Linked DNA regions of Tamandua tetradactyla. The protein of the gene in region 3 interacts with the protein of the main gene of each other region in a pairwise test. Links are inferred from orthologs where the notes say so. Each region holds a gene or a part of one and is shown on either strand. Other genes may lie near its edges.

Region 1 (7,921 bases), on a different chromosome or scaffold from region 3:
TAATTATTAATTATGGACGGGAACTCAGATACTCCCGTCCATCCAGCACCTCCAGGGCCACACTGTCCCTGCAAGCCGTCTACACGATCCCTCAAGAACCGGGAAAGATGGCCCGGGTTATTTATTCTGGGACCCCCGCCCTTAGCTCCCAACTCCGCGCTTCGACACGGCGGTGGCGCCGACCGCCCGGGGCTGACGGAAAGCAGGACTACGGTTCGGTAGTCCGCCAGAGGGCGCAGCAGCCCTGCGAATCTTACCCAGCTGGCTTGCCCGCGGCTCAAGCTCCCGGTCACCGACAGCGCAGCTCGCACCGCGACTCGAAAACCTTCTGCCGGGAGGCTTTGCGCTGGCACGGTCCTCCCCCAGCTCCGCCACACCCACACCAACGCGGTTTGGGCCGCTCCTCGCCCCAGTCACCTCCACGCCCTCGGAAGCTCGGTCTTCCCAGGGTTGGTGGCGATGCCCCACGGGTTCCACGGCCCCTCTCCCCTGCCTGCTGCGCTCCGGAGCTCAGCGCTGCAGCGGCCGCCCGGTCCCAAGCCCAACTCCGGGCGTTTGCATTGTTTTGGGTTGAGACCTGCGAGGGGGGCGGGCGGGGTGGAGGGAGAGGGACCCGGGGGTTTAGAGTTACAGCCGCGCGCCAGCGCCTCCTATGGGCCTGAAGGAGGCACAGCCGCAGGCTGCGACTCGTCAGGAAGACCGGAATGAACCAAGCCTGTGCCCCTCTCGGCTTTTAAGAACCCGGGTGCTCACCTTGTCCGACGTTCGCCTTTGCCGCAGTTACCCCGCGCACTCGCGCTTCCTCCCGACTCTGAACCTCTCGCTCCTCCTTCGCTACGGGCTACGGTGGGAGGCAAGGAAGTTAGCGCCCCAAACCCCGGATCCTCTATATTTCACCCACCCACCCCTAGTCCGGCTCCTAGTCTGCTTTTCCTGGCTTGGCGTTCAGTTTTAAACAAAAGCAAAGGCCGCCGAGCCACTTCTAAGAAGACAAGTATCGGCGGAGTCCGAACAAGGAGTTTGCCACTGGATCCTGCACCTTCGACCGCGGGCAATCCAGCTAGACATCCCGACGGCTGGTGCCGAGCACAAACCCCGCGAGGCTGGACGCGCGGGACACTAAGCGCACCTTTTGGCTAAGTCTTTCCCCAGAATTGCTGCTTCTCCACTAGTAACATGAAACCTCCTCGGAGGCAGGAGGGAACCCCGCCCTCCAAGGTCTGCAGGAGGTCGCTGGCCACCACGTCTCCAGGACGCGTCGCGGCACGCCGCCCACGACCGGTCCCCAGGAGGCTCACGGTCGACCCGCCTCGGCGCCAGACGCTTTTGCAACTGGAAAGCCCGACTCTATGCCCCTCCCCCTGCACCCCTCCCCACCCCGCCGCCCTTAGCGAAGCGGTCCCGGGGCCGAGAGCTGGCAGTCCCCGCTCTTCACTGCGTCTCTATCTCTGTCTAAAGACCCAAGCAAGGGCAGGAGTACCCGGGGACAGAAGCAGACGCCTTCCTGGCGCCTCCCCACCGCTTCCTCCGCACCACCCCCTCGCTCTCTGGACTCGTTTTGGAGTCCAGCTGCAGTTGGGTCAAACCAACAGCGGGAATGTGCAAGAGCTCCAAAGCAGGGACCAACCCGGGCGTCAAAGTGAGGCTGGGCGGGCCCCCACCTGAGGGGAACGGAGGAAGGGCCCCTCATCCTGGAGAAGGTCGAGAGGGAGGGGGAAGATGAGGGAGGGGGAAGATGGGGGAGGGGATGCGACGCAACTACGCCAGGGTCCGGGTTGACCAAGTAGAGGGCGGGGTGTAACAGACAGAACCTCGCTCTGCAGTGGGTGAGGTGCTCACGCCTCGGGCACCGCTTCCTCTCATCCTGCGGCCCCGGGGACTCGCTCTCCTCTGAGGTGCTGATGGGATGAGGTGTGCGGCTGAGAACTGTGGTGCTCCATTTGCCCTGGATGCCTCCCCTTGCTCCAAAAAGCTGACTAGTCCTGCTTGGGAGTGACCGCGGCGAGGCGAGGCGAGGCGAGGCGGTCCAAAACATTGAGCAATTCGGCCGGGGAGCCAAAAAGTCATTTCCCACACCTCCCAGCCCGGGGCTTTTCCAGTGAGTACGGGCGGGCGTGGGGCGACTCCAACCTAATAGGGGCCGTCCACGCTCCCTTTCCAGCTTCCCACCCTTGGAAATGGGAGTCCAAATGGCAAGTCTGTTTTTCAGACAGCCTTTCTGCAAATCCTGAGGTCTTAGCCGCGCAGGCGGAGGGAAGCGCGAGACTAGCGCTCTGGCTGCGGAAAAGACCCTCCGCGGCAAGACAGCCCAGAACTTCCTTCCCGGCCGAAACTCTGGACCAGGCCACCCGGGAGCTCCCGCACACCTGGCTTGGCGGCCAAGGTTCCCGGCCCCTCGGGCTGCTGGACTCGGGTGGGGCCACACTCCCTTTCGTTCCGAACTGGCCGAGACCTTTCCAGACAGAACCTCTGAGCCCAGATGTTTTCCAGCCAAATGGGCGCCGCCCGCTCCCCTGACGCTGCCTGGAGAAGTTACCCTCACGGGTAAAAAGCCGATTTCCTTGGGGATAAACGGCGGAGAAAGGAAGGGCTCTAGGAGATGGCGCAGGGCGAGCACAGACTGCGAGTGTCACACATCCCCGCACGTAGAAGGACACACGGCGGGGGTGGGGAGGAGGAGGAGCATCCAGAATTCCAGTGCTGGGAAGGAGAAGGGAGAGGGGAGGGCTGTTCACCTCCCACCTTTCTGTCTTACCTGGAACCAAGCCTCTCCGTTCCAAGCCATTTCTAATTTCCCCAAAAGAAGTTCGGCACTTTTCTGGCGATTTCCTTTCTTCCTTCCTGCGGCCGGGACTGGCCAGCAGCACAGCCCCGGGTTCCCCTGGAGGAGGGGAGCGCGCAGCGACGGATGGGAGGTGGGGGACCACCGCGCACAATGAAGACCCCTAGGAGCACCGTTCGAAATTCCTCAAATCACAGTTGCTGGAATGCGAGGCGACGACGACTTCTTCACTCCGGGCCAAATGTGTTTGTCATTACTCCAGAACGCCCGCGCGGTCGCGCGGCCGCCGCCCCCGGGCAAGGACGCGCAATCCAAGAGTACTGCGGCGCCCACTCTGGCTCTTCCTCGCACCTCCCTGACCCGGCAACACCCTGGGAAGCACCCCAAACTCTCGTGCAAGCCCGAGCTCTGTCTGCTCGTCTTGCAGCCGCAAGCAGATGTGCTGACTCTGGACTCTGCTTGTACCCGGCGTAGCGCCGTCCAGTAATTACGCGTGCTCGGCCGGCGCCGTGTGTACCCGGCAGGCACCCGCGGTCCTGCCTCCTCCAGCCGAACCCTTCACGCCTCCCCCGCCCTGCAGCCCCATTTCCTCGCCGCTCTCGGCGGTCTTTTCTTTCCAGCGTACCCCAGCTGCGCTCCACACCGCGGGCTGCATCTCTGTCCAGCCAAACCACGGGCGAGGAATGAAAATATTCATTAAAAACCTGTCGCCTTCCAGGACCCAATGCCAAGAGGGCAAAACACCTCTGCTCCCACCCCCAGCATTACTTGGTACTCTTCCCAGCATCCACGAATACCACCCCCATCCCTAAAAGAAACCTCAAAAATGCCTAAACAATTTTGGGGGAGGCCATAGGGTTGTTAGAAAAACACTACTAAAATAGGCCTGGAAAATGTGTTGTTTTAAAATCCCCAGACTTTCTAACTCAGTATTATCTTCCTCCCAAGTGAAGTTTATTCAGAATAATTATTCTCTGGGCATACAACAGGAATTCAGTTCCAAATTTTTTTTTCCCCCATCGTCCAAAGTTTGAGTGAAGTTACTTCGCTTCTTCCAGCCCAAGGACCTGATCAAGGACTTCCCATGGAAACAACAATCACTTTTTCCCTCCCTTACCTTCTCCTATGTTAATCAGCAATGAAAATCCTACACATCGAGAAAAAAAAGTCCAAATCTTCAGCTCTCTCTTGTGGTCTCTTCCTCTGTTTCTCTCCCTCTAGCTCCGACTGTATTGGGCTCAAACACCGCGTTTTGTAATTGATTCAATGTTATAGTCCATCCTTCTAAAACTAATCATTTGCTCTAAGTAAATAGCTGTCAGGAAACGAAGCCCCCCCTCGGCCTCTTCAAAATAAAAGTTTCCCTCAAACTCCCGACTCTCTGAATCTCCCAGCCTTCAGATTGTGCCTTCGCTTTTTGCTCTTATGCAACCAGGGGGTCCAGCCCCAACCCTCAGGTTTCAACAACAACTGGTGGGGGGGTGAGGGCGGGGAGAAGCAGACCAGATGGGGTGGGGGTGGTGGAAGGGGGAGGTGTTGATGCTCTGCCGGGAAAGACGTTTCGTTTCGTAAAAATACAAATTGCCCATCATTCCAGAATGAGATTGCCTCCTGACTTGGGAGATACTTTCCTCAGCTCCCATACTGCTTTGTATCCTCTTTAAAAGAAGTAAAAGAATACATAAAATTGCTGTTAATTGACAAAGAGAATATAAATCCGGAATCAAGAAATGTCCTGTCTAGAGAAGCTCCTGGCCCAACTGGAAATGGGACTCTCTGGAGGGCTCCAAGTGGTTGAGTTGTTTCGAACCAGGAGTCTTTTAGGGAAAGTGCCCTGTAGTTGCTAATCCTTTAATGGGATTAGGCAAACTGTTGAGTCCAATACGGCAATGATGTGTTGTGTGTGTGGGAGGTGGGTATGTGTGTACCCGCGCGGGCACGCGCGTGTGTTTGAATGGCTGGGGTCTGAAAGGGAATACAAAGACTCTAGACTCTGCATAGGTTTGGAACATACTCCTACAGAAAGACCTTTACTCCCAAGAAGCCACTTATTGTGCCTTTGTTTTCGGAGTTATCAGGGTAAGGTTGCCCTGGCTACCTCCCATAGAAAATGACTCCGGCTTGGGAGACTGTGGAACTGTCAACAACAAGCCAGCCACCTTCTAGTCCTGGGGATGGGAGTATTTTGACGCCACTTGTGTTCCCACCGCCGCGCGGGTCGGACCCTATGAATGCCTTGGGGTTGAGAGTGGAGCCCCAAATCCTGTGCCCAAGGCGCTAGGCAAAGAGATGGTGTTGGGAGAGAACAATGCTGCTTACAAGGGAAAGGGGGCGCTGACGCTCCAGGAACCAGACCTGGGTCGAGAGCGGGGGATGGGAGAGCTTTCACCTTCCCCGCTTGCTGTAATTTTGAATTCTGTAGTTGAGGGGAGGGGGGCATCCTTTATCTCCCTTCACTAACACACACAGTCAGAGTGGCTAAGGCGGTCAGGTTTGGACTGGCACGTGGGAAAGCCATCACCTCCCTCACCGGGTGGACACAGGGAGACCCTCAGGGGAGGCTCACAAAAAATTACTCCAAGGAGCTAGGTGCCAGGTTTAACCCGGGCGGGCTCCGGAGTGCCAGGCCCAGGAAGAGGGCGCCTGGGGCTCGGCTTGGGGGCCCCACTCCCCGGGCCCTTCTGCGTGCCCGCCTCTCATGCATCTTCAGCTCGGGTGACTTGCACAGCCCGCTATTACTTCCACATGTTCCTTCAGGAAATCATTGAAGGCAAATATATGAACAGCCCCTTGTTCAGAATGCTAACAGGATACCGTAATGTTTGTAGATAATGAACGGGAACTAACATTCCTTCTCCCCCACCCCCCACCCCCCAAATCAGAGCACAGAATAAAAGTTGATAAGCAGCGGACCAGCTTTCAGACTGTTGTTAAAGACGAATTGAGAGCGGGGTTTTTATCCCAGGTGCCCAAGAGGGCAGGAGGCGAGACAGAAAGCCTAGCCTGGAGGGCCTGCGGTGCTGCCGGGAAACTGCTAGCCGGGTCTCCCGCTTGAGGGGCCCCAGCGCTCCCCCGCCCACAAATGGTAACTTCACAGTTCATTTCGGAGCCGCTTTAAAGGGGCCCGAAAAGCGGGCTGGGCGGGGGCGACTTCGGACGGTAACTCCTCGAGAGTTTAAAGCAGAGAGAATGGATGAGCCCAGCAAGCACCCAGTTGTCCTTCTGGTAGTGATTACCTGCCTAATTTGAATGATGCCTTTGTTATGATCATTAACAAACTTTTGCTAAAGGTTTCCATGTGTGACATTCTGGAAGGTTGAAAGGCCTGGGGAAGCTGACTCCGTGGACAGCGCGCCGGTGGGGGGTGACCCAGGGAAGCAAATGGTTGGGGGAAGAGTTCGTGGAATCTGGACCAAGCAAAGATGGAGAGCGGGCACCATCTGCCTCCCCGGCAAAAGCAAAATAAACCTCAAGGACTGGAGTTAGCTCGGGGCAGGGGGTCCACGAACCGAGGTGGTTGGTTAAACCTTCCTCATGGGCGGGTTTTCTGCCCTTTGCGGCTGGTCAGAGGCTTTGGGAGGTCGGGTGCGAGACCGTCAGTCAGACCAGCGCGTTGGGGGGCGGCGGGGGTGTGCGCGAGCAGAACCGCTCTCCTCCCGTGTTGTCCTAAGATCCTTCCAGATTGCTCCCCACGACGCCCCGGGTCCTGGGTGGTCCGGGAGCCGGATTCGGCAAGAAGTACTGCCCGGGCCGAGGCGGGCCGCGGGGTCTTTCCTCCTCTTCCTGGGCTTCTGGCGGGGACCGCCGTCCTGTGCCCCGCAAAGTGACCTTCGCCGGCGAGGGCTGCTCTGCGAAGGTCCCAACCCGCCCCCGGATTTTTTCTTTAAAGGAGCATCAAGGGGTTAAGAATGAGGGTTTTCTCTCCTCAAGGGGTTAAAAACCGGAGTCCTGTCGGCCTTGGGCTGAGGGGGAAGGAGACCTAAATCCTAAATTGAATCTGGCTGGAAAATTTAGGGAAAGGGGTAGGGGGCGCAGCGTTTAGGGGAGTGGCCTCGTGCGTCTAGGCCCTCAGACAAAGTGAAATCGGGAGGAGGTGTAGCGATCCAGCCAATATTCCAAAACAGAATCCTGTGAACTTTTTTGCAACTGAAATGGTCACTGAAAACAAAGACAGAATCTCGCCCTGCCCTTCCTCTCCTGGTTGAGGGCAGTTGCGACTCAGAACTCCCACCTTAGATTTTCGTGGGCATTTCCCACTGCCTTGACTTTTTGTTTCTCCTCTGCAGCATCCCAACTCCATTTCCCAATTCTACTTTCCTCGGAGAATTCAAAAGGTCCTTTTGCTTTAGAAGACTTGGGATTGTAGCAGTTATCAAAGCTGTTAGTTGTGAAATTCTGGCTTCACGATTTGAAAACGAAGGACAATTTTGTAGTTTGCAAAAGGAAAATGCCCCGACTGTCCCATCCTCCCTTCGCCTAGAGGCTGGAAGGAACCTTTGCTGGGAAGGCTCTGAGCAGCCTTGTGGATGCAGTGATGAGGGGAGGGGGTTCCCTGCAGGGAGACGGCGCCAACAGTCAGCCCTTGCCTCTAGCCTACCCCTTCTGAGGCTCCCAAGCTTGCTTGGTGCCTCTTTGCACACTTGGAATTCAGAGAGGGCCAAGTCCTGGAAAACTAAGAGGAAGAGGGCTCCAGGCTGGCCTGTGTACCTTGGGGTGATAGTTTGCTTTCTCACCACCATCTCCTCACACATTTGTCGGTGACTCCTGGCTGCATCTAACCCGGCAGCACCTCTTCTGGTTCCTAGGGGGCTCTCCATCCCTGCTCCCTCTTCCAGGGCAAAGTACAAAGCAGTTTCCAGTGCATCGTGACTTGCTACATCCTCTACAAATGATTCCTAACACCACAGCCTGGTTACTGGCCTGAAGACCAGGGCAGTGAACTGCGTTTTGGGAACTCTCGTAACAGAGCTGGGCCATATGCTTCTCAGCTGGGGAAAGATGTGGTAGGTCTATACCTCCATGGGGTCTGGATATTTTGATATCCTTTTCCATGGGAGAGAGCCACTTCCTCAATCCAAGGGTGTTCTTGTGCCTCTTACTTCCCTCTCCTCTATAAGGCTTAGTTTTTAGTTACTTTTA
Region 2 (6,931 bases), on a different chromosome or scaffold from region 3:
TCCTGGACATGAGATAGATGGACACTAGCTGGGAGCCAACCTTCAGCATTTGGCAGTTTTTCTGATCTGACCCCACTCCTTATGGCATGGCTGTCAGTTCCATGGCCAGCTTTGGATACTTCCAGTGGCAGCACATTCCAAGATACCACGTCTCAATGATGGGGACCTGCCCTGCCACCACCCCCTCGGGGCCTGGCCCAGGAGCCCCTCCAGCCTATCTCAGCCAGCAGCCCCCTCCTGGTGCCTGCTATTTCCGCCCCTGCCGCCCGCTCCCACCTGAGCGGCCATACCCAGCTCCACTTCCTCAGAGGCCTCCAGGGACAAGGTTGGGGCCCTGGGTACCGCCAGCAGGACCCCCAACAGGGTCAACAGCAGGAGCATCTCCTTCCTGCGGCTCACACGGATCTGGGCTGGGCTTCCCGCGACTGCTTTCCTGAAACAGGGAGGGAGAAGACCTCAAGCCGCACGCCCACCTGTGTTGGCATTATCCCATTTTGCAGATGAGGAAACCGAGCAAGACATGGTCAGCAGGCTGGTCCAGGCCGACAGTCAGGCAGCAGCGGGGCAGAAACTGGAGCCATCTCTGCTGACGCCAGAGCCCAAGGCCTCCCCACATCAGGTTGTGTAAGGTGGGCTGGGGCGGGTTTCCTGCACTCCTTGGGTCCTGCTGAGACTTTGGCATGAGTTCACAGAAAAGGGCAGTTCAGGGAGTCTTTCCTTGGAGGGAAGCAGAGAACGGAGACACATCCTCTGCTCACTCTCAGCACACATCATTTATTATTATTTTTTTTTCTGAATAAATGAATTTACTGCTGAAGAGCCCCAAAGAAAAAAAAACTGAAATGTATTTTCAGGCCAAGCTTCAGCATTTGGCAGTTATTCTGATCTGACCCCACTCCTTATGGCATGGCTGTCAGTTCCATGGCCAGCTTTGGATACTTCCAGTGGCAGCACATTCCACATTAAGCAGCAAGGTCTTCCTTATTCTGAACCAGAGTTGTCGACCTCCACCCCCACCCCCCACAATTCCAACCCCCCCATAATTCCATCTGAGGCAACACAGGGTTTTGTGAAGAATGCAGACTTGAGTGTCAAAAAGACAAGTTAAATACTGACTCCAATTTGCAAATCTCTGTCCCTTTCTGGGTCACTTTCCTTGCAGGACTGCTTTGAGGACAAAAAAAAAAAAAGATACTCTGTGTAGGGGGGCTGGTCCTGCAGAATGTCAAAATGTTCTCCTCCTTGCAGCCCCCCATGCCAGGTCTGCCCTCACTCAGCCAGTCACCTCCAGTTCTAAGGTTGTTCCTATCACGTGTGATGAACCCAATCCTTCCATCCAGGTTACTCTCCAACAAATGCCACTGAGGCAGATGTGTCCCCCACAAGGAACACTGGCCCAGATGGGGCAGGCGGATAGGCTGATCACCGTCCAGTGGCTGGGAACAACCCACTGGCTGTTACCGGGGGCCGGGTAACAACCAGGAACACCAGTGACTCTGGATCTACCTTGCTCAGAAAGCAAGTAGATCCATCACATCCTTTCTCCTCAGCTACTGTCCCTTGTCCAGCTCCCCATCTGAGGCAGTGGGCACTCAGCCTGTCCTGGTGAGAGCCATCATCTTCCCCCTTCAAACTGGTCCTTCCTTGGGTTGCCCTGACTATAAACTGCCCGATCATTAGAGTCAGCAGCTGGGGAATCACCCCCTTCAGCCCCTGTCCTCTGCCCTCCCTCCACCCTATTTCCAGAGGATCCCACATTCTGTCTGTTCTGCCTCTTCCATTCCTCTCCATTCCTTCCCACTCCCCTGCCCTGAACTGGGGCAGGTCACGGTCATCTCTCACGTGGGTCTTTACAAATATCTCCTCCCTGGGCTCTTCAGCCTCCACCCTCCACCAGGGCCTTAAAAAAATGCACGTCTGACATGTCACCCTCCAGCTTACAAGTCCTTAGTGGCTACCTGCGTCCTGCAGGATCAAGTCCAAACTGTTTATCCAGCACCCCAGACCTCCCTCCTCAACCTCACCAATCTCTCCGGTCTCACTGACTGCCCATTCAGGAGCACGGACATCACTGGCTTTCAAAACTGAACACATCTGCTCTCTTGCCCATACCTCTTCTCCACTTGGCTAGGGCTCAGATGCCACCGTCGCTGGGCTCCCTCCCCTCCTCTTTTCAGTGGCCCCCTGCTCCTCCCTTCACTCTGCACGGTGCGCAGCACTCTGCATCCAGAGCTCAGGCTGGGAGTGGGGTGGAGAGGCCCGGGGGTTTTATTTCCACCCTCAGTATCCCGACCTCAGAACCTCAGGGCATTACGGGTCAACCAAGGCCGCTGATAGCCCAATCCAGAGAGGGCAGCCGGCCCTTGGTTCCATCTGGCAGCCACGGGTTCTCCTCCTGCCTTCCGCACTCACGCGCTGGGGAACCCTAGGCAAGTGACTGCATCACTCGGAGCCTCAGCTTCTTCATCTCTAAGCCGGGCATGCAGACGGCCCAGTGGCCCTGGGACGAGTGTCCGTCTTCCCCCTCCCCCCCACTGAGCCACCTTAGGGGGAGGGATGGGCCGGCGCGTCCCGAGGGGGGAGTTGCGGAGAGGGTCGGCCCGCCCGCCCCCGCCCGGGTAGGCAATGAGTAACCAGCTCCGCGGCCAGGGTGCTCTTTGGACGGAGCGGGACAAAAGGCCCTGTGTGCGCCGCGGGTTACTGATTTACCTCCCCCTCCGCCACCCCGCCAAGCGGACGCCCAGGTCCGCCGCGCTGGGAGCCGGCAGCCCCCGGAGCCCCGCAGCCTCTCGCCCCCTGGCGGCGGGGAGCACAGCCGGGGCCCGCACCGGGTCCCAGCTCACCTCAAGCCTTCGTGGCTGCGCTCCCGTCACAGGGTCTCCGCTCACCTGGCGGCTCCACGGCCCCGCCCCCGCGCCCGGCCGGGCCCGCAGACAGCCCGGGCGCGTGTCCGCCCGGGGCGGGAGAGCCAGAAATGCACCCACCAGCACCGCGGGGCCAGGGGCGGCCCAGGGCCCCGCCCACTCCGGCCCCGCCCGCCCCCCGGCCCCTCCCCGCCTGGACCGGCTCTATCCTGACAGCGGCGTGAAAGCTGGCAGCTTAGCGCCCCACCCACAACAGGCCCCGCCCACCAAGGGCCCCGCCCCGCCTGGACCAGCGCTATCCTGACAGCGGCTTGGCCCAGGACAACCCAGAGCCCCGCCCACCTCGAGCCCCGCCCCGCCCACTGGGACTGGCGGAACCCGGGACAGGCTCGGCTGAATTCCGGGGTCCTTCCTGCTGCCAGCCCCCTCAGACTCCGCCTCTTTCGCAGCACTTCCAAGTTCTAGACCACTTACTGGTGGGTAGACCCCGTGCTCTTCACCCCACTAGGAACGAGATCCAGCCCGCCCGCCGTAAGCAGACCTTGGCCCAACCTGGCCCCTTTGTTCTTAGGCGCGTTCGCCCGCCCCCTCAAATCCATTCTCTGCGCAACTTCCAGAATATTTGAAACACAGATCAGACTACATCCACCAACCCATTTCCATTTTCCAGTAGCTGTGAGTAGCAACTGGAAAATTTAAAAATATAAACATTTTTGGCAAAACCTGGTCCTTGCTCATTTGCACGTGCCGTTCCCTCTTTCTGGAACGCTCTGTCCCTTCTTGGGCTGATTACATTTATTTTTAGGTCTTAGCTCAAAAAGCACTTCCTCAGAGAAGCCCTCTGGACTTGGCAGGGTCTCTCTGGCTTCTTTTCGGTTTGTGAGACTGGACCCGGTGGGCTCAAATCTCAGCTACCGCGCGCGCTTGGTGGGTTACTTTGTGTCTTCATCTTCTCGTCAGTAAGATGGGTATAATGATTATACCATCCTCAGGAGGTTTTTGCAAACAGTAGACGTATCAGGGTGAATAATCCTTCAGAACGCTCCCTGGCATATGGCATTTGCTTTGTAATGTTAGCTGTGATTATTTTGGACACGTTATTTCTCATCACTCTCGCCAGAATGGTCAACTGTGTAAATAGTTGCGTAATGCTAAGCTCCTAAAAGGCAGGAACTGAGCCTGCATTCCTTGCCATTTTATCTCAAGTACGTGGCCCGGTAGGTGCCTCACGAGAAGCTCCGCCCCCACCCAGCTCAGGTGGACCTCACCTGTAAGTTCTTCTCTCTTGACCATCTAGACTATGGTCTAGACCTATGACCCCTGCTCACTCCTCACCTGAAGTCCAAGCTCTGGGCTCCTCTGAAGGATCCTTGAGGAAAAAGGAAACCCTTCAGCTTGAGTCTCAGGCCCACCTCAGATTTTCCCTAGGGCTAGTGGAGACCTTGCCCTATGAGAAACAGCTGCCTTCTGCATTATTATGCAGAACAGTCTAGTTTTTCCCCAAGTTCACTCCCAATGAGAGAGCAGCTTCACCTTTGCATAACCAAAAGATCGATTAAAGTGATTTTTTTTCCTCCTTCTGAACCGAAAGAAGGGTTTCCTCCCAGAGATAAATCAGAAGATAATTGTCTACAAAAAGCAGCTTGTCCTGATTGCCCTCATTCTGGGGCCTGCTTTGCTAGAGCACCCAGAAAGAATGTCATGCCTGGCGCTGGGGATTCCAGCAAATGAGGGCTGCCAGGAGGTCTGGCAAAGCCTCCAGTGGGCAGCGGCTCTCCTGGACTATTGGAGAGGCTCCCATCCCTGGCCCTCTGCTTGTGAATGTAGTTGTTAGGGGCCAAGACAGGCTGCTGGCAGGAGCTGGGCCCAACACAGCTTTCGCTCAACCTCCAGGCATCTCCCAGGTTTACCTGAGCCAAAGGCTTTCCTAGCCGAGGCCTGGCAACCTCCCTGTCTCCTGAAATGCCCTCATCCCCCAGGACACTGTGTAAGAAGGTGTTTCCTATATCCCTTGTCAGGCCCCTCTCCTTCTCACACCTCTCACACTGAGCCTCTGCAGAGTCTTGACACTCTCATAAGGTCATTCATTCATTCACTCATTCACCAAGTGTTTATGGAAGGTTTGGTATGTGGAGCGCACCATTCTAAATCCTGGGGATCAGGCAGTGACTCAGACATGTCCTCTACCCCTCAAGGAGCTGCTGACGTTGTAGTGGGGAGAAGCAGACAAGTAAACAGTGCATAGGGAGGCAGGCTGAGGGCATCTGGGAGAGGCACGGTTTTAGTTTCCTAGGCTGCTCAAAGCTGATACCATGAAATGGGTTAGCTTAGAAAATGGGAATTTATTAGCTTACAGTTTGTGACTGAGAAAATGTCCACATCAAGGCATCATCAAGGCAAGGCTATCTTCCCGAAGACTGGCCGCTGGTGGTCCTCGACTGCTCTGCCACATGGCGAGGCACATGGCGGCGTCCGCTGGTCTCTTCCTGCTCTTCCAGGTTTCCTTGCTTTCGGCTTCTTGCTTAGGCGGCTTTTTCTCCCTCTCTCCACATTCATTCCCCTTTAGAAAGAACTCCGGTCAGAGGATTAAACCCATCCTATGAGGTGGGTCACACCTTAACTGAAGTAGTCTCATCAAAAGGTCCCACGTGCAATGAATTTACATCCTCAGGAATGGATTAGATGCCAGATCATGTTTTCTGGGGAATATTCAGCCTCAAACCACTATAACACCCAAGCCTGTTTCTCTCTCACTGACTCACTCTGTTGCTAACATAAAATATTTCCCCAGTTACACATGCAATCTCTCTCTCAAAGATGTTCAAACGTCCACACACATGCATATACACACACCACCTCCTTTCACTTCTCAGGGAATCAGGAGCGTGCTAGCCTAACATACTGATCCTGGCTTGCTTCTGCCTCAGTTTTTCTATGCAGGAAATGGACTACACTCCTGTGTCCAGCTTTCCAGGGGTGTCTGGGGAAAATGAATGAGTTAACAGGTGGGGTGAGTTTCACCAGAATGGCAAGTAAGGTGGAAGTCCTTGCCTTGCTAGTTGCGTTGGACATGCATTATATCCTTTAATCCTGCCACCAAGCCAAATGGTGTGGGGATCCTTGACTCAGTTTTGCAGGAGAGAAAATAGAAGCTCAGGTTGCTGGAGTGACTGGTCTGAAGTCACACATAGCCAGCAAACAGCAGAACTGGAACTCGAACCCGGGTCCTCTGGGGCCCGCAAGGAGAGCCCAGGGTGACTCTCCACAGAGTCAGGGTGGCTGATGCCACCACTTCGACCCGTTTTCTGTCTCCATCCCCAACTGTGGCCTGGGGGGTTGGAGATTCACCTGACGGTGAGCTGTGGGGGTGGGGTCTGGGTACTTCTCCCCATGCCCATGGGGGTGCCTGTGCTGATGGGGCACCCACGATGTACCAGGCCCAAAGCCATGGGGTGCAGACTCTGGGCTCCCAGAGTGCCGAGGTGGGCAGGCCCCTCCTGCCTAGAAGCAGAGTCAGGGGAGGGAAAGCAGGCATTGCCTGGGGACAGTGACGTTGCTCTTGAATGGCAGTTGGGCTGGGGAACACTGGGCTCTTGTGTGGAAGGGCTGCTGCTGAGCCAGCCCAGTCCCTGCCCAGGCCCCACTCCAGCTCCAGCCCAGCTCAGGCCTGGCCCTCACCCCATCCTCTGAACCAGTCTAGTTTTGTTTTTTTTTTTTTCCCTTTTATTCTTTCCTTCTAAAACAATGTTTTGAGAGAGTTTAAAGATAAACACACAGGGCACAGGGTAAAATCATAACGCGCTCTACTCTGAATTGACAACTGTTATGATTTTTTCCAACCTCTTTTCTACCCTGGTCCCCCCCCAAGGGAGGACCGACTCAGGAGGGCAGAGTGGAAGCAACTTTGATAACAATTTGAATAGTTGAAGGTTGGGCTTTAGGGTCAGCCAAACCTGGGTTTTTTTTTGGCATGGGCAGGCCCTGGGAATCAAACCCAGGTCTCCGGCATGGCAGATGAGAATTCTGCCACTGAGCCACCATTGCACTGCCCTTCCACAAGCCTGAGG
Region 3 (7,994 bases):
GAAAGGCCAGAAGACAGGAATGAGGTTATCATCTTTGAAGAACAGAGCAGCATCCAGCATGCTGGAATGCTGTGAGCACGGAGCCTGCAGCATTGAGGGACACTGAAGCATCAGTCAGAGATCAGATCCTATTGGGTCTCACAGGCCATGGTGAAGAGTGTAGGCAATGGGAAGCCACTGGGGTTGTTTTAGAACTGGATTGAATAACATGCTCTGAATTTTTCTTTAAAAATGTTTATTTGGCTGCTGTGAAAAAAAAAAAAAAGAAAAGAAAGATTGTAGGGGGCAAAAGTAGCATTTGAAAGACCAAAGGCTGGTGGCTGTAGCCCAGAAGAGAAATAATAGAGTTTAGATTAGCTGGTGAGGAGGGGGTGGGGGGGAGATGGAAAAAGTAGCATAGAGATATTGGAAGAGGAATCGGTAGATTTAAAGGACTGGACAAGGCAAGAAAAATCAGCAATGTAAGTTCAGTGAACTGATCATCTGAAACTCTAACTGTCCCCCCAAACCAGGATCTCATGATTGCCATAGTTTTATGCTTCTGGTAGCTTCCTAGTCCCCTCCTCCCAAAATCAAAAGTCAGAGGCACGGACATATTCATTCACCCTTAGTGGTCTGTCCTCCAGCAGCGAGGGGGGTGTGCTTCAGGATGAGTGGGTTGGCCCAGTGCTTGTGAGACAAGGAATCCAGGAGAGGGAGGGCCCAGTGGGGCTTTCAAGAGTTGGGATTGGAGAGGTCACTGCTCCCACACCAAAACCTAAAACACTGTGACCGACCAGGAACTATCCAAGCCAACTTTCTCCTATTTCAGACGGTAAAGTGAAGAATCATCCAAGGCCACACAGCAAAGCTACCATCCAAGGAGAGACCCACTCATGAAAAATGAGGGCACAGAAACGCACCCAGGACAGCCCTGTGTGCAGAGGCTGGGGTGGAAGGCACTCTGCCTTCATGCCATGCATTAAACCAGGTGAGGTGGAGGACAGAAGAGTCATTTTGTTTCTGCAAAGCAGCCCAGGGAGAGAAAGGGAGAGAGAAGGGCAATCTCTTCGCCTCCTGAGCCTGCATTCCCGAGACAGGTGAGAAGAGCTAAGGGCCATCATCAGCAAGAACAAGGCTGGTGTTTCTCTGGTGAGCTTGGCCTCTACCCACTCGCTAACCCTGGGCCTGGGGAGCAGTCTCCCGTGTGGTTAGGCTACAAGTGAATTGATCCGTCTTCTTATCAGAAGCTTCCAAGTTACTTTCCTGTGGCCCCAGGAAGGCCTTGTGCCTGCTTTTCTCAGGGATTCCTTCCATTGAATTCATACCAACACTTCCTCTACAACCCGTGCCCCAGACTGGAGGCCCTGCCTGGTAGGCTCTGGCTTGAGGCCTGGACCTCGGACTGTGGACTTTCCCCTCCCCTTTTCTGTTTGTTTTCAATCCTCTGACCCTTGGCTGGCTAGTGAGGTAGGCAGTGGGGAGGAGACTCCAGGGTGTACACAGACACACACAGGCGTACACACACAAACACATACACACACACACAGCCTCACATGCCCCCAAGTTTCAGTGGCTGGTCAATGATTGATTGGCATTTCACAGGTTGTTGGTTTCAGACCCTCAGAGGTCACCTCTATAAGTCAGGGTCTCGCGTTGGGCCTCTTCAGTGCTGGTGGCCACTTCCACAGCCCACAGGCCCAGTAACTGTTGTCCAAAGATCTTCTCAGGCAAATCTCATGCATCTGCCCCTCGGGCCCTTGGCTTGTTACCCTCTGACCTGCAGTCAGGCCCTTCCTTGGTACCCAGCCTCCCTCACTCTAGGCCCCTCTCAAACTCCTCCAACAACCGGCCCTATCCCGCTCCCTGATGTTTCCCCCACTGTCTTTGTCCTTCAGGCATCCTCTTTCCATGGCTCTCCTGCCAGGCCCCGCTGGGAGGGGCAGCAGAGGAGAGAATCAAATCAGCAGCGCCCACCCCTGCCCCCCTTCCTCTCCTCTTGTCAAACACCAGACAAGGTTTTTTCCCCTTCCTTTCTGGCTCTGAATGGGCTCATTCTCTCTAGTAGATTCGGCCCCTCTCGAGCCTCCTCCCCACAGCGTGAGTTCTGACCCCAGCTCCTCCCCCCCACCCCCTCTCTGCCCGGTCTCTGGTTGGCTCCGCCCCTCTGGGCAGCCTTGTATGCCAGCCAGGGGTTTGTTCTTAAGATCTCCAATGCAGAGAGGGGGGCTTGCTGAGGCAGGGCAGGGGTAGAGGGAGGGACTCTTTGTAGAAGGAGGGATTTACCCTGAGAAATCTCCTCTGGCTCCCCCACCCCAGGGGGGTTCATGGTACCCCTTGATTCAGAGCTCTCGAAACTAATGGATGAAGCCAAAGCTTTCAGAAGCCTCAGGTTCTGCCTCTGCTGTGTGGTCTTAGACAAGTTCCTTTACCTCTCAGGATCTCCGGGTTCCTTCCCTGTAAAATGGGGAATGATAACAGCCACCCCTGGTGCCTCGAGGAGCCAGTGTGAGAAGGAAGGTGGATGTAGGACAGAGGATGGCACAGAGAAGGATCCAATAAAGGATGGTACAACAGCAGCTTTCCTGGCTGCACAAGCTTTTCCTAACACAAGGGCTGGGGAAAAGCATGTTCCAGGGGAAAGGGACACCTCAAACCCTGACCCTATGGTAATATCCTGATGGTCTCCCACCAGCTGCACGTGCGATCACCCACGTACCAGCCCTCCCTCGAATATTTCACCACCAAGTAACTCTTGGAACCAGGTCAACACCTTTTCTCCCTGAGGGGCTGAGATGCTGTGGGTTTGAGGCAAGTTAACTAAATCCTATACCCTCTTCCTTAGGGAAGAGGGGCTGGTTTTGCTGGATGTTCAACTTTTTCCTAGTTAACCCTAAAACAGCCCTGGGCAAATTACTTAACTCTAATTCTAATTCTAACACCTAGAGAAAACAGGAATCTTGATGCCCGTCCTGGCGGGCTATTGTGTCCCCAGGAACAATGGTGTTTCCAAACATTTGTGATTATAATCCAAGGAATAAATTCATTTTACATCACGAACTGGAAACTACATACAAAACCACACTTACCCTTACTATGTTCTTACTCCACGGGATGTGCGCCGATCTTTTCTATTACATTCTATTTCTTAAAACAAACAAACAAACAAAAGTCTAGTCTTAATCATTTAAATTGGTTTCGGGGCCCTCTAATGATGAATCTGACCTGCGGTTTGAACAGTACTGGTTAGAGCTGGGGCGGGGGCGGATTTACCATAGGGTTAAGAAAGGTTACAGTTTCAGGCCCCTTATCTGCATATATGTGCATAATTTTGTACTTAATTATTTTCTTTTTTTAAAAATTAATTTTTAAAAATAAATTATAGGTTTACAGAAAAATCATGCAGAAAATATACACCTTTCCTCACACATACAACTTTCCCTATTACTAATAATTTGTATAACTGTGGTATCTTTGTTAAATTGATGACACAATATTCTCATAATTACACTATTAACTATACTCTATGGTCCATTAGCGTTCACTGTTTGTGTTGTACAGTCCTAGGTTTTTTTAAAATTTTTGTTCTAGTACCATATATACAACCTAAAATTTCCCCCTTTGCCCACATTCAAATATATAATTTAGTGGTGTTAATTACATTCACAATGTTGTGCTACCGTCATTGTACTTAAATTTGTATTCATAACTTTGTACTTCTTTTCTTAAAGAGCGTCTCCCACATCATATAAGCTTCAGGCCCCACAAAACCCGGTTCTGCCCCAGTAGAAGGAAATCCAGTCGATTTATTGAGCAGCTACTATGTGCCGAGTCCTGTGCTAAGTGCTTCAGGAGCGTTATTTCATTTACCCCCTAGCACAGTAGGCCTGATGCCATTACAGACTCTATTTTACAGATGAGCAAACTCAGAAGACTCGGTCACTTGCCCAAAGTCATAAAGCTAACAAACAGGTGGTAGAGTCCAGAGATTTGAACCCAGGTCATTCTGATCCCAGAGCCCCTGCTGCTCTCAGCCTCCCACAGGTGTTCGGCACAAGTAAGCACTAAGAAATTCTAGTGTCCTTCATTCTCCAGTCCCCAGCAGGTGTCCTGATCCCCCTCTTGGTCAGCACAGATGTTGCTCCTGGCTACGGTATTCCAAGAAGACTTGCCAGATTTAGCAAATAAAATAAGGAAGCCCAGTTAAATTTGAATTTCAGATAAACAACGAATAGTTTGTTATTATACGTGTGTCCCACGCACTACTTTGTGGGAATTTCCAACAAAAACATGCCTCCTTCCCTTTCAACCCCCTCTCCTCCCCCATCACTCGGGGTCTTAAGAACAGGGTCAGGGGTCCAGGTGGAATGCAGGGTGGGGAGCTGCAATGGAACAGGGTAACAAAAGGCAGGGGACAGAGCAGAAACCTTGAATGAATTGGGGACTGGGAGCCCCATAAAGAAACAAGAGGTATATCCTTTGAAGGATGCGGCTGAAGTCCCCTCTAATTTGAACTCTTCTCCTCAAATCTGTAGATTCCCTTACAACCAGCTTTTTAGACTAGGGAAGATAGCTAAAAGAGTCCAGAGGCTATGCCAGGCAGTCCTGGAAGCCAGAAGTTAAACACAAGGCATCCCCTTCCTTAAGTACCAATTTCACCTGAGGATATGGTGGGAAAACCATTATTTGATATTAGGACAAATAGGCATGTGATGGAGTAGGATGCAAACACGCCAGGAATGTTTAAGATAAACCTGCAACTTAGAAGAGAGGGAAGGGATGGCAGCCGGGCCTTAAAGAATTGGCCCCAGAATCCGGGGAGAGGCGGACGAGCCCCTCTCCTCTGCTTTTAGGGGTTCTTCGTGGAAATGGTTGGGATCGGCTGTAGGAAACCCAGGCGTCCGGGCGCTGGGAGGGGCCCCCGGCAGGCCTGCGCGGAGAGAGGGAGAAAGTGAAGCTGGGAGTTGCCACTCCCAGAGACTTGCTGGAATGCAGTTGGGGGGGGGGGGGGGCGAGCTGCGAGCGCGCTCGCTCCCAATCACTGGAGGAGGAGGAGGTGGAGGAGGACGGGCTGCCTTGAGGAAGTGCAAGAATGAAGTTGTGGAGCTGAGATTTCCCTCGACCGTGGCCAGAGAGACGAGAAGAAGCCCCCCGAGGCCTCCGCACGCCCCTCCTCCGGCTGCCGGGTTCCGCGCGGAGCGCCCGGCCCCCTTCTCTCGCCTGCCCGGCGCCCCCCAGCCTGGTCCAGCCGGAGCCATGGGGCCGGAGCCGCTGTGAGCACCATGGAGCTGGCGGCCTGGTGCCGCTGGGGGCTCCTCCTCGCCCTGCTGCCCCCCAGAGCCGCGGGCACCCAAGGTGGGTCTGGCGTGGGGAGGGGATGGAGCAGCGACAGAAGCCCCTGCAGCCTGCGTCCCCCCTGAGAGCTCCCCGGACGCGCGGGGGCAGGGGACACCCGAGCTGTCCCGACCTGGAGTAGTGGGCACTCGGGGCGCTCGGGGTGGCCGGGCCTTGGGACAGAGGGAGGGGGCGAAGTAGTTGGGGCAGGGGGGCGATCGCACCCACGCAGCCGTAGTCGAGGGACCGACTGGCCCTTCCCAGACTCCAAACTGCTCTGCGAACTTGTCAGCAAAGTCCTTTGGAATTGTTCAGAAAGCTTCTCCCCCAAGGGTATACTGCGTGGTGTGCGTGGTGTGTGTGTGTGTGTGTGTGTGTGTGTGTGTTCCCCTTCTTGAACCCCTTGAAGCCTTCGCAGTTTTTCCAGTTGGCAGCCTCCGCCTCCCGACTGGTCTGGGCTGGATTCCTTTGGGGGTCCCCTCCGCCCTGTCCCTGCCCAGCCCTTCCCCCCTCCTCCCCTCCTCCCCTCCAGCAGCTAGAATTTGGTGACTCCAGCTCCAAGCAGGGTCCGGGTGTAGAGGGGGGAGGCGGGGAGAGCAACCTGTCCAGCCCAGGGGGAGGAGGGGGGGCAGGAGGCTGCAGAGTTGCCTTATGCTGGGGTCTGGAGTAGGGGGAGGGAGAGGCGGGTCGTTTTGAACAAGTTTCTTTAGGGCCAACTGACTGGGGGCCTGGGTGTTTTGTGACTTTGGGAGCGTGTGTGTGTTGGCGGTGGTGGGTCTGGGACCTGAAGTGGGAGAGTTCCGAGGGAGGGATTCCGGGGCTCTTGTGGGGGAGGCTGGGCTGTCTGGCAGCCTTTTCTTTCATGCCCTGTGTGGGGAAGGGTGATGTGGGGGGCGAGGTGTGTTCTGCGAGGAGTATCTGCCCACCTGTAGGTGATGCTGAGAAACGCAGACGTGTCCCGGTGGTACACCCTATGTCAGGTCCTGGTATGGCGTCCTGTGCGCATTCCCTCCTTTCACCCTCAGCCACCCAGTGGGAGAAGTCCTGTTTCCATTGTCCTGGTGAAGACCTGGACCGTAAGGAGGCTCAGTAACAGCCGGGAAGTGGTGGGGCCCACCCCTGACCCCAGCCAGCCTGACCCCCAGCCTCATTCTCAAAATCACTATATTCAATCAAAGGGGAAATCAATCCCCCTTGAATGGTGGGAGCTGCTACCCGCATCACCGGGCTGGAGGGAAGACAAAATGAGAGTGTTCCGACAGTAGTGGGTGGTCTCCCCGGGTCAGGGAGTCTGGTGTGGGCCGCGTGTTGCCTGAGGGCCCCTCTGTCTGGGCATTGCTGTGTTGTCTGGAGAGTTCCTGTGGGTGTCCGAAGCTGCCCGCTTTTGCCAGGGTGTTCCTGAGTTGTGTGGACTGAGTGTTTGTATGTCTCTGCTCTGTGTTGCCAAACAGCAGTCTCCCTGCCCCCTTGGGGACTGGGCTGAACTCTGCCCTCTCAAGGAATTCCCTCAAGGTGCTGGGCTAGATCGGTTGTAAACAGCGGGAGGTGGCCTCCTGCCTTGTCTCTGAGGAAGGAGGCGCCTCTTTCCCGGTGAGCCCGTCCTCTTTCTCCCTGAACCCAGGCGGACGTCTTCACCCCTGACCTTCTGAGGAGAAGGGTGAGGCCAGGCTTGGCGATCGGGCCGAGTTGCTATCCTCCTTGCCTTGGCCTGGGAGTTGAGCAGGTGGGGAGCGGCGGGGTTGCTGCAGAGCGATCTGAGGAGCTGTCTCCTGGGGTCTCCTCGCGTCTCCCTCACCCCTCAGCTTGCACTGTGGGGTGCAGAGAGAGACTCTGGGTGCGTTGTATAGGGATTGGCTAAAATGGCAGCCCACCACCCAGCTGCCTCCAGCACCCCCATTATTGTCCATGGCTGAAGGAAGGGGCAGGAACATGGGGTGGAGGGGAGACTTGGGGAAGGCTCAGAGGGTCAGGATTTTGCTGAGATCCTTTCTGCAAGGTTTTATAAAATTTCAGCAAACACATCCTTTTTATCTTGCACAGCTCATATGTTATTATTTCCAGAATCGTTCTCCCAGCAGCCTCCTTCCTTCTTTTTACTATACTTAGGGAAAGTGACCTCATTTTAATATTCAAGAGAAAACAATAGAAAGATAGGATCAAATGTCAAAAGAAAACATCTATCCCATTCCAATGTCAAATAGGAAGCACTTTTTATTTTCTCTTGGTTTGGGATTACCCATGCTTCTGCCTTAACTTTAAAAAATGTCCTGAGTGTTTCCTACGTGTCACCTTCTTACCCACAGACAGTTTCATTTCACCTCTGCAAAGGTCCTGCGAAGTATGTGCACAGATTGGAAAACTGAAGTTCAGGGAAATGAAGCGGTTTATTCAAGCCAGCTAATCAGTACCGTCCAGGGCATGTTTGGCTCCAGAGAGGAGGTCTCAGCAGTAGATCAGAGACTTATTCCATTCCCCGGGAATGGGTTGAGCAAAGCCCATTCAGGTGGATGACCTCCCATCGGTTTATCTAGGCTATAGAAAGTGGGGCTGTCTTCCTCCACCCCATCCTGAGCTGGGGCCCTGAGCTCCCTTCCCGGCTGCGGGGTCCTCTCCCTCCCAGGCCAGCCCATGCTTGCCTTCCTTTTGATTTTGAGCCCTCCCATCATGGCAGGGGACTGAGG
Region 4 (7,738 bases), on a different chromosome or scaffold from region 3:
TCCACATCACTTCTCTTTCTAACATACTATATAGTTTATTGGGGGTTTGTTGTTGTTGTTTACTGTCTTCCCCCTCTAAGATGTAACCTCCATGAGAAAGGGATTTCTGTTTGTTCTGCTTACTTTAGTATCCCTAACTCCTCCATAGATGCTAAAGATTTATTCAATAAATAAAAGGCAGACACAGTTTTTGCCATAATGAGTCTTATGTTAGGATAGATACTAACTGGTAAACAAACACATAAATATAGTAATTAACAATGACATGGGCTATGAAGATCTCTAAGACCAGGCGTGTTAGAGACTGGGGCAGGAAAAGACATTTGTGAGAAAGTCTCCTTGGGATGTGAATGATAAATACACATTAGCTGCTAGAGACGAAGGCAGAAACCTATCTCCTGAAAAGGGATCAGTCAGGGTAAAGACCTGAGGTGAGAGAGTTCCTGGCAGCTTTGAAGAACAGCAAGAGGACCAGTATGGGTAAGGCAAGGTGACTGAGGAGGGAGGGTGGAGTGATGAGACCACAGAAGTACGGCAGGGCCAGATCACATGAAAGAATGAAGAATTTGGACTTTACCTTACGGGCAGCAGTCTTTGCTTGAAGGATTTTAAGAAAGAGAATGTCATACGATACACATTTTTTTTAGGCTGCTGTGTGGGGAACAGACTGTAGGGATAGGTGTGGAAGGGGGGAGGGGGGAAATGAGGAGACCTCTGCAACATTCCAGGTGAATAGTGATGCTGAGTGCAGTGGGGGTGGTGAAGAGAGGTCAGATACTGAATATAATTTCAATGTAGAGCTACACGAATTTGGTGATGGATTACAACAAATGTGAAAAATAGGGCCAATGTGAGTGTAATTCTTCAGTTTCAGCACAAATCCCCTTTCCTCAAGAAGCCTTCTGGGGAAATGGGGATGCTAACTTAGGGCCATATCTTAAACACCCTTGAGTCCCCTGGACTTAAGTTCTCCTTCATTACACACTTCATACTGCTGTGTGGCTGTTTAATGGTCTGCTCTCCTACTCACCTATCAGCTTTGGGAGAGGGGATTCCTGTCTGTGTTTTCCACATTTGTATCACTAATCGGTGGCACAAAGGAGGTGCTCAACAATTGCTTGCTGGCTAAACGATAAGAACCCTTTCAAGCCTGAGTCACGTGTTCCTAAATCAATCAGCTTCCACAGTTCCTAGGCTGGCATAAGAAATGATTTGCTCTTCCTGATGGCTCAAAGTGGGTGGATGTGTGTGGTGCGGGATGGCCTAGAGGACCCAGCCTCACCTGTCATCCCAGAGGCAATGGAATTCATTTAGCTGCTCATCAAACACCAAGCCGGTGCCAGACAGTGCCCTGGCCTCAAGGTCCAGATCCTGCAGGGAAAAAAATGGGAGAGACAGATCCATTTAGGGCCTGAGTCAGAGGGGTCATCCTGTATGGTCCAGGATGGAGAACCTCAAGGTCTCAGGCTTTTGGTTGCTATGGGAGGCCAAACCGAGTCCAGGTCCCTCTCACCAGCCCTTGCAGCCCCATGATTAGGTCTTGCTCGGCTGTTGGGCTGAGCTTCTTCATTCTGCCTTTCTTCTTTACCTCCGCTAGACTGGGGCTGGAGCGGGGTCCAGCACCCTTTTTAACACCTCGCTTCTGCCGGGCAGAGAGAAGGGTCAGAGTCCAGGGGACGGCCCGCTGCTCCCCCTCCCCCTCATCAGAGCAGGTCTGAGGCCTCACCGCAGTGGTGACGCTGGAGTCGGAGACGTGGGGGGGCGAGTGGGGATTGTGCCTATTCCTTCGCTGCCTGGTGGAATCCTGGCCGATGGAAGTCATGGTCGGGGAGACTGCGACCTGCTGCGGTACTGGGGGAGTGGAGGTGACTGTGAGGGGGCTGGAAGTGCCTGAGGACCCCCACATTCCTGCCCCCTTCTCAGGCCCCACCCCATATACTATACTCCATCCATGCCTTCTAAACTCCGCCTCTCGTAAGACTCCCTCCCTTCACTGGGGTTTCCCTTCCACCTGGTCCCGCCCTTTCCACTAGACTCCACCCCTTTGACACTATTTTCTTACTCCTTTCAAAGCCTGGTCCTTTCACAGAGTCCTAAAGCCCCAGGCTCAGTCTGTTCTAGGGCCTGCGCTTCCCAGTTAGTCATCGCCCCTTCCGCTCCACCAAGGCTCATCCCCAGACCCTTTCATTCCTCTAAACCTAGTCCAGATTCCAGGGGAATTCCAGGCTGCATTCACATACCTGCCCTTTCCCGCCTATCTCCTGGGATAGTCACCCACCCCTCTCACTTAGCCAGACCCAGCCCCTGCCCCGACTCCACCCTGAGCGAAGCACTTAACTCCACCCCTTACCGGGCCGCACTTGCCCTTCTGCCAGATCCCGCCCCTAACGTTTCAATAAACCGCGCCCCCTCAAGGGACGGCTTCTTTCTTTCCACAGATCCCACCCCCGCCCAGACCCTACTCCCTGTTTCACCCAAGCCGCTTCGGCCAGTCCCGAGCCACCTCCCGCCAGTCTCCGCCCCCGAGGCCCACATACACCAATCTCTGGGTTCCGCTCACAGAGCGCAGCCCCTTTCTCAGACTCCGCCTCTTGCTCGTGCCGCCAAGCTCCCAGCGGCCTGCGGAGCACCCGGTGCCCGAGCCCTTCCTCTCCATTGGGCACGCTTTCTCGACCGCCAGCCCAGATCCCACCCACACCGGGCACCCTCCTTTCCGCGAGGCCCCACCCCTCGCGTCGGGCACACCTCCCGCTACTTCAGAAACGGGCGGCTGGCCGGCGCGTCAGCATGAGGCGCCAGTTGTTCAATACGGGATTTAAGCTTAAGCTGTACTTTCCCCCAGCTATCGTTGCGGTCGTCCGAGCTGCCACGGCCGTGCTCCTCCGCCCCTACCCCGTCACCTTGGGAGCCCTTCGGACCCGCGGCAACCGTGCCCTGCGACGATTCAAGACAGGGAGAGGGCGAGCAAGAGAAGGAAGGAGTTGGGAAGGGGCGTGTTCACACCGCCCCGCCGCTTCCCGCGCGGCGCCGGGTGATGACGTAACGCGGGCGGGTTGGCGCCGGCGAGTGAGGTTGAGGCGGGATGATGGCTGGTGGAGGCCAAAAATAGGAATGATGGTAACAATAAATGTGGTGGTTTATTCAGTGTTTCATGCTTTGGCTAAGGTGGCACACGTGGAACACTCACCGAACGTTAGCTGTTAATAGTCTGCTGTGACAAATGGGTGATGGGGAAGAGGGGCCCCAGCAGCTGTGAAGATAGCAAGTATTATGTGCCAGATGTTGTTAGCCACGACTCTATGAGGGATTTCCCATTGTTAACGCTACTTTGCAGATAAGGAAGCAGGTTCTTCGATTAGCCATGTGACCTTGGTCAAGTTCCGAATGTCTCTGTGCTTCAGTTTCCTCATCTGGAAAATTGTGATAATAATAATAGTGCCCAGGGCCAGAATGGACCAGGAGTTTTTCACGGCTGGCTGGTCTCCCTATCTGCCCCCTCCACCGGATAACCTCTGCTCCCAAGTTGCATGGGAAAGTGTGAGTGTGCCGGCCTCGGGCTCCCGTACCTCCACCCCCACCCCTGTCTAAATATCTGCCCCGCGGGGAGGCCGGTTTGTCTTTCCTAATCTCCCTCTCTCATTCTCTACCATTTCCTACCCGGCCGCAGGCTGGGGCGGGAGAGATAAGCGGTCTGGGGTTCAGCATCGCTGACTAATAAGCAGATTGACAACCTCACTGCCCAGTAGCCGGGCCTTCTGACTCCTTTGAGGTTCCCAGTTCCAGCCCCCTCTTCCTTTTCACTCTTTTCCTGCTGTCTTTTCTCCAAGTGGAAGAAGGCCACAGACTTAAGACCTTTAAACCTCCACATACACCAAAGAAACACATATGAAGTGATACACACTGGGGGACATTCTGGGATTGTGATGTCTGCAAAGCAGGGAGTCTTGTAAAAGGTCAAGGCCTATAGTTCTGTATAGTCAGGAGATTAATTCCTGTAGAACAGGGGTCAGCAAACTTTCGATAAAGGGCAGGAAGGCAAATATTTTAGGATTTGTAAGCTGCTTGAAGTCTCTGTGGCATAATTTTGTTTTCTTCTCTTTTTCACACCCCTTTCAGAAGGTAAAAACAGGCAGTGGGCTGGGCTTGGCTGGCTGACAATAGTTTTTCAATACTTGCTGTAGAGTGTCATTCTTTGGTTTTCATTACCTGGCTAGGATTCTTTTCAAGGATGAAAGCAGGGGTTCCAGGCTGCATGAGGAGAGGTATTCCTTTTGTGTGAGATGTGAGGACAGGGACTCTTGGATAGGATCAGGTCACTCCTGACCTTTCTCTACTGTGTCAAGCAAATGTCCCTTGATAGGGGAGTGCACAGAGGTTCCTGAACTTTCTGTTCCTCTACTGGATCAAGCAGGGGTTTCTATACAGCACAAGAAAGGTGTTCCTAGAGAGCTCCAGACTAGGGGAACCTGTCCAAGTTCAGGATGGGGCTCCTTAGACTGAATTATGGCAGGTTCCTACAAACAGATCAGGGTTAGGACAGGTTTTTCTGAACAGGTTCAGTACTTGTGATCATATAGATAGTAAGATCATATGATCATGCCTAGATTCAGGTCAAGAGACTGTTATTCATTAAAATAAATTATGCTAGCTGCTATAACAAACCAACCCAGAATCTCAGGGGCTTAACAAATGACTAGTGGATCATTCATGGACCAGGAGACCTCCATTTTGTGGCTGTACTCTCCTCTAGGTCCTTGGAGATTTTTTTCTCTTCAGCCAGTAGGTGGGGAAGGAAAGGGAGAGTGGAGGTCTGCCAGGGAAGTTTTTATGAGCCAGGAGAAGTGGTATGTATCACTTTGGCACATGTTCTGTTGGCCAGAATTCAGCTTGTGTCCCATCTGGCAGAGGTTGCAAGGGAGGTTGGAAAAGATAGAGTAGGCTCAGGAAGAAAGGGAACAGGCTTTGATGAACCCATGGCAGAGTCTACTCCAAGATTCTATTGACTCCATAGAGCTCCACTGTCCAATATGGTAGGTACTAGCCACATGTGGCTAATTAACCCTTGAAATGTGGCTCGCCCTAATTGGAATGGGTTATAAGTGTAAAATACCAAATTTACAAAGTTACAAATTTGTATTTGTAATTTTACAAATTTGTAAATTTAAAAATTTACAAATTTGTATTTGTAAAATACAAATATTGAATATTTGTATATAATGTGGTGCTGGTTTGAAACTGTTCTGTACCCTAGAAAATGTCATGTTCTTTTAATCCATTCTTGTGGATGCAGACCTGTTGGGGTGGGATCTTTTGATCAGGTTATTTCCATGGAGATGCGGCCCACCCAATTCAAGGTGAGTCTTAATCCCCTTTCTGGAGTCCTTTATGAGAGGATGCAGAGAAAAACCCAGAGACATTTTGGAGAGACCTCAGAGCCGAGAGAGTTTAGAGAGAGAAAATGCCCCGGGAGAAGCAAGAAGGGCCCACAGGAGCTGAGGGAGCCACACTGAAGCCAGAAGCTGGGAGAGAAGGATCAGCAGACATTGCCATGCCCCTTCCCATGTGTCAGAGGAACCCCGGATGCCATCAGCTTTTCTTCAGATAAGATATTGTCCTATTGATGCCTTAATTGGGACATTTTCATGGCCTTAGAACTGTATATTTGTAAACTAATAAATTTCCATTATAAAAACCAACCCATTCCTGGTATATTGCATTCTGGCAGTTTTAACAAACTAAAGCAAATGGGTAAAGTAAAATACACCATTAAAATTAATTTCACCTGTTTCTTTTCCTTTTTTAAAAAATGTGGCTGCATGAACATTTAAAATGACACGTGACTCTCATTATATTTCTGTCGGACAACACCGCTATAGAAAATTATGTTTAAAGTATTGGGACAGGCGTTCTTGTACTGAGCAGGGATATGGGTTTCTCTACAGAGTCCAGTTAGTGTTTCCTGTCTGGGATATGGAAAATGATTCTATTACAATGCAAGGCAGGTTTATAGGAAAAGATGCTAGTTGGAGACATTGTGGCGTGAGAGGGAAGGATGTGAAGGGCACTTTTCTCCCTGAACAGGTAAAGATTAGATGCTCCTTTGGAGGCCAGGAAAGTTACTTTCTATAGGATCACAACATGCTCAGGATGGTCAGGATTGGGTTCCTGTAGAGAGAGCGGTGGATCAGATAATCATGTTGAGGGTTAGGCCTGGGGTTCTCCTGCAGACTTGAGACAGATGTTCATGGAAATTCAGGCTATTGGTTGTTTAACAATTTCAGAACAGGGGTTCCTATAGAGAGTAGGTATATTTGTATTGGTTCATTTCTTGGATTCCTGTGAAGAGTTAGATCAAAGGTTCCTGTTGAGTAAATGTAGGGTTTTCTGTAGCAACTCAAGACACAGGTTCCTGCTGAGAGTCATGGAGGGTAGTCCTGTGCAGGGTCAGGACAGAAATCCTGTACAGTTAGGAAGGACACTGTTTCCTTCAGAGATTCAGGTGAGTGTTCTTCTTTTGCAGCAGGACAGTGGTTCTTTTTATTTTTTTTTTCACATGGGCAGGCACCGGGAATCAAACCCGGGTCTCCGCCATGGCAGGCAAGAACTCTGCCTGCTGAGCCACCATGGCCCGCCCAGGACAGTGGTTCTTATACAAGGTGAAGACAGGACTTCTGGGACAAGGCCAGCATAAGGGTTATTATGGAAAGTCAGATCAGGGCTTCCTGTTCAGTGTCAGGACTATGTTTCCAGAGAGTAAGGTCAAGAGTTCCAATAAAGGATTAGATCAGAGGTTCCCATAAATGACTAAAGTAAAGGATTTCTCTTGAGGTTCAGGAAAAGGTTTTCTACAGAGAGTCAGATCAGAAGTTCCTGAGTGGTTGTAAGGAAAGGGTTCCTGCAGAGGGTCAGGGAGGTAAATCTAACATAGGGGAAGGAAAAGTGTTCCTACATGGTGTAAGGACAGGGAGCCCCATAAAGCATCAGTAAACAGTACCTGTATAATGTCTGGGCAGGAAGTCTGGTACCAGTTGAGGTCACAGGGGGCTCCGTGAGGGTAGAGAGTCAGAACAGGGGTCCCAGCCACAGCGTCAGGAAATAATTTTCTACAGGTTTGAGACTGAGGCTCATACTGAGAGTTGGATTATGGATTCCTGTAGACCTGATGGTGTAGGGCGTGAGGTCAGGGATTGTGTAGAATGGGGTCAGGGGTTCCTGTACATTATGAATGCAAGAGTTTCTATATTCGAATCAGAGCTGGGTTCCTGAAGAGTTTAAGGACAGGTATTTCTATACTGAGAGAGAGCCAGGTCAGTGGTTCAGCACTTGGGTTTTTGTTGAGATTCAAGGTAGGAATTCCTGAAAGAAGTTCCTATACGTTGTCAGGCTTTGACAACACATTAACATCAACTGGGGAACTTGAGAAAGTACTACTGGAACAACAGAAAATAGACAAAAAGAGTACCTACTATGTGATTCCATTTATTTAACGTTCCTAACCAGGCAAAATTAATCTATGGAAATCAGGATAGTTATCTTTGTGGGAGTGGGGAGATGAGGAAGACTGGAAGTGGGCATGAGGAGGGCTTCTGATGGGATTGGTCATATTTTGCCTCTTGATCTGGGTTCTGCTCTGGAGCTGGGCTCACTCCATGTAAACCATTGTGTTGGTAGCTTACAGTGTATGCACTTAAGACGAAAAATACCGACGCTTGGGTTCTATCCAAGACCAGATAAATGA

The links.
Region 1: the proteins of ERBB2 (region 3) and PDGFRA interact in a protein complementation assay, tested with the Homo sapiens proteins (2 studies listed by BioGRID, with this or other methods). The link is inferred for Tamandua tetradactyla from reciprocal best matches to the Homo sapiens genes ERBB2 and PDGFRA.
Region 2: the proteins of ERBB2 (region 3) and FGFR4 interact in a protein complementation assay, tested with the Homo sapiens proteins (2 studies listed by BioGRID, with this or other methods). The link is inferred for Tamandua tetradactyla from reciprocal best matches to the Homo sapiens genes ERBB2 and FGFR4.
Region 4: the proteins of ERBB2 (region 3) and HDAC6 interact in a protein complementation assay, tested with the Homo sapiens proteins (2 studies listed by BioGRID and IntAct, with this or other methods). The link is inferred for Tamandua tetradactyla from reciprocal best matches to the Homo sapiens genes ERBB2 and HDAC6.

The regions. Positions count from the first base shown.
Region 1 is NC_135345.1:54,468,767-54,476,687, reverse strand, and holds the start of PDGFRA (platelet-derived growth factor receptor alpha), read right to left. Parts: upstream 3,015-7,921; 5' UTR 2,786-3,014; coding exon 2,756-2,785; intron 2,300-2,755; exon of another isoform or gene 1,812-2,299; intron 1,261-1,811; exon of another isoform or gene 1,130-1,260; intron 842-1,129; exon of another isoform or gene 754-841; intron 310-753; exon of another isoform or gene 258-309; intron 1-257. UniProt on the Homo sapiens protein: Tyrosine-protein kinase that acts as a cell-surface receptor for PDGFA, PDGFB and PDGFC and plays an essential role in the regulation of embryonic development, cell proliferation, survival and chemotaxis.
Region 2 is NC_135346.1:58,737,106-58,744,036, reverse strand, and holds the start of FGFR4 (fibroblast growth factor receptor 4), read right to left. Parts: upstream 3,006-6,931; 5' UTR 2,844-3,005; intron 434-2,843; 5' UTR 382-433; coding exon 291-381; intron 1-290. UniProt on the Homo sapiens protein: Tyrosine-protein kinase that acts as a cell-surface receptor for fibroblast growth factors and plays a role in the regulation of cell proliferation, differentiation and migration, and in regulation of lipid metabolism, bile acid biosynthesis, glucose uptake, vitamin D metabolism and phosphate homeostasis.
Region 3 is NC_135332.1:27,586,162-27,594,155, reverse strand, and holds the start of ERBB2 (receptor tyrosine-protein kinase erbB-2), read left to right. Parts: upstream 1-4,985; 5' UTR 4,986-5,261; coding exon 5,262-5,334; intron 5,335-7,994. UniProt on the Homo sapiens protein: Protein tyrosine kinase that is part of several cell surface receptor complexes, but that apparently needs a coreceptor for ligand binding. Essential component of a neuregulin-receptor complex, although neuregulins do not interact with it alone.
Region 4 is NC_135353.1:121,434,231-121,441,968, forward strand, and holds the start of HDAC6 (protein deacetylase HDAC6), read right to left. Parts: upstream 3,007-7,738; 5' UTR 2,901-3,006; intron 2,877-2,900; exon of another isoform or gene 2,746-2,876; intron 2,695-2,745; exon of another isoform or gene 2,538-2,694; intron 2,469-2,537; exon of another isoform or gene 2,351-2,468; intron 2,334-2,350; exon of another isoform or gene 2,241-2,333; intron 1,852-2,240; 5' UTR 1,823-1,851; coding exon 1,727-1,822; intron 1,643-1,726; coding exon 1,514-1,642; intron 1,372-1,513; coding exon 1,283-1,371; intron 1-1,282.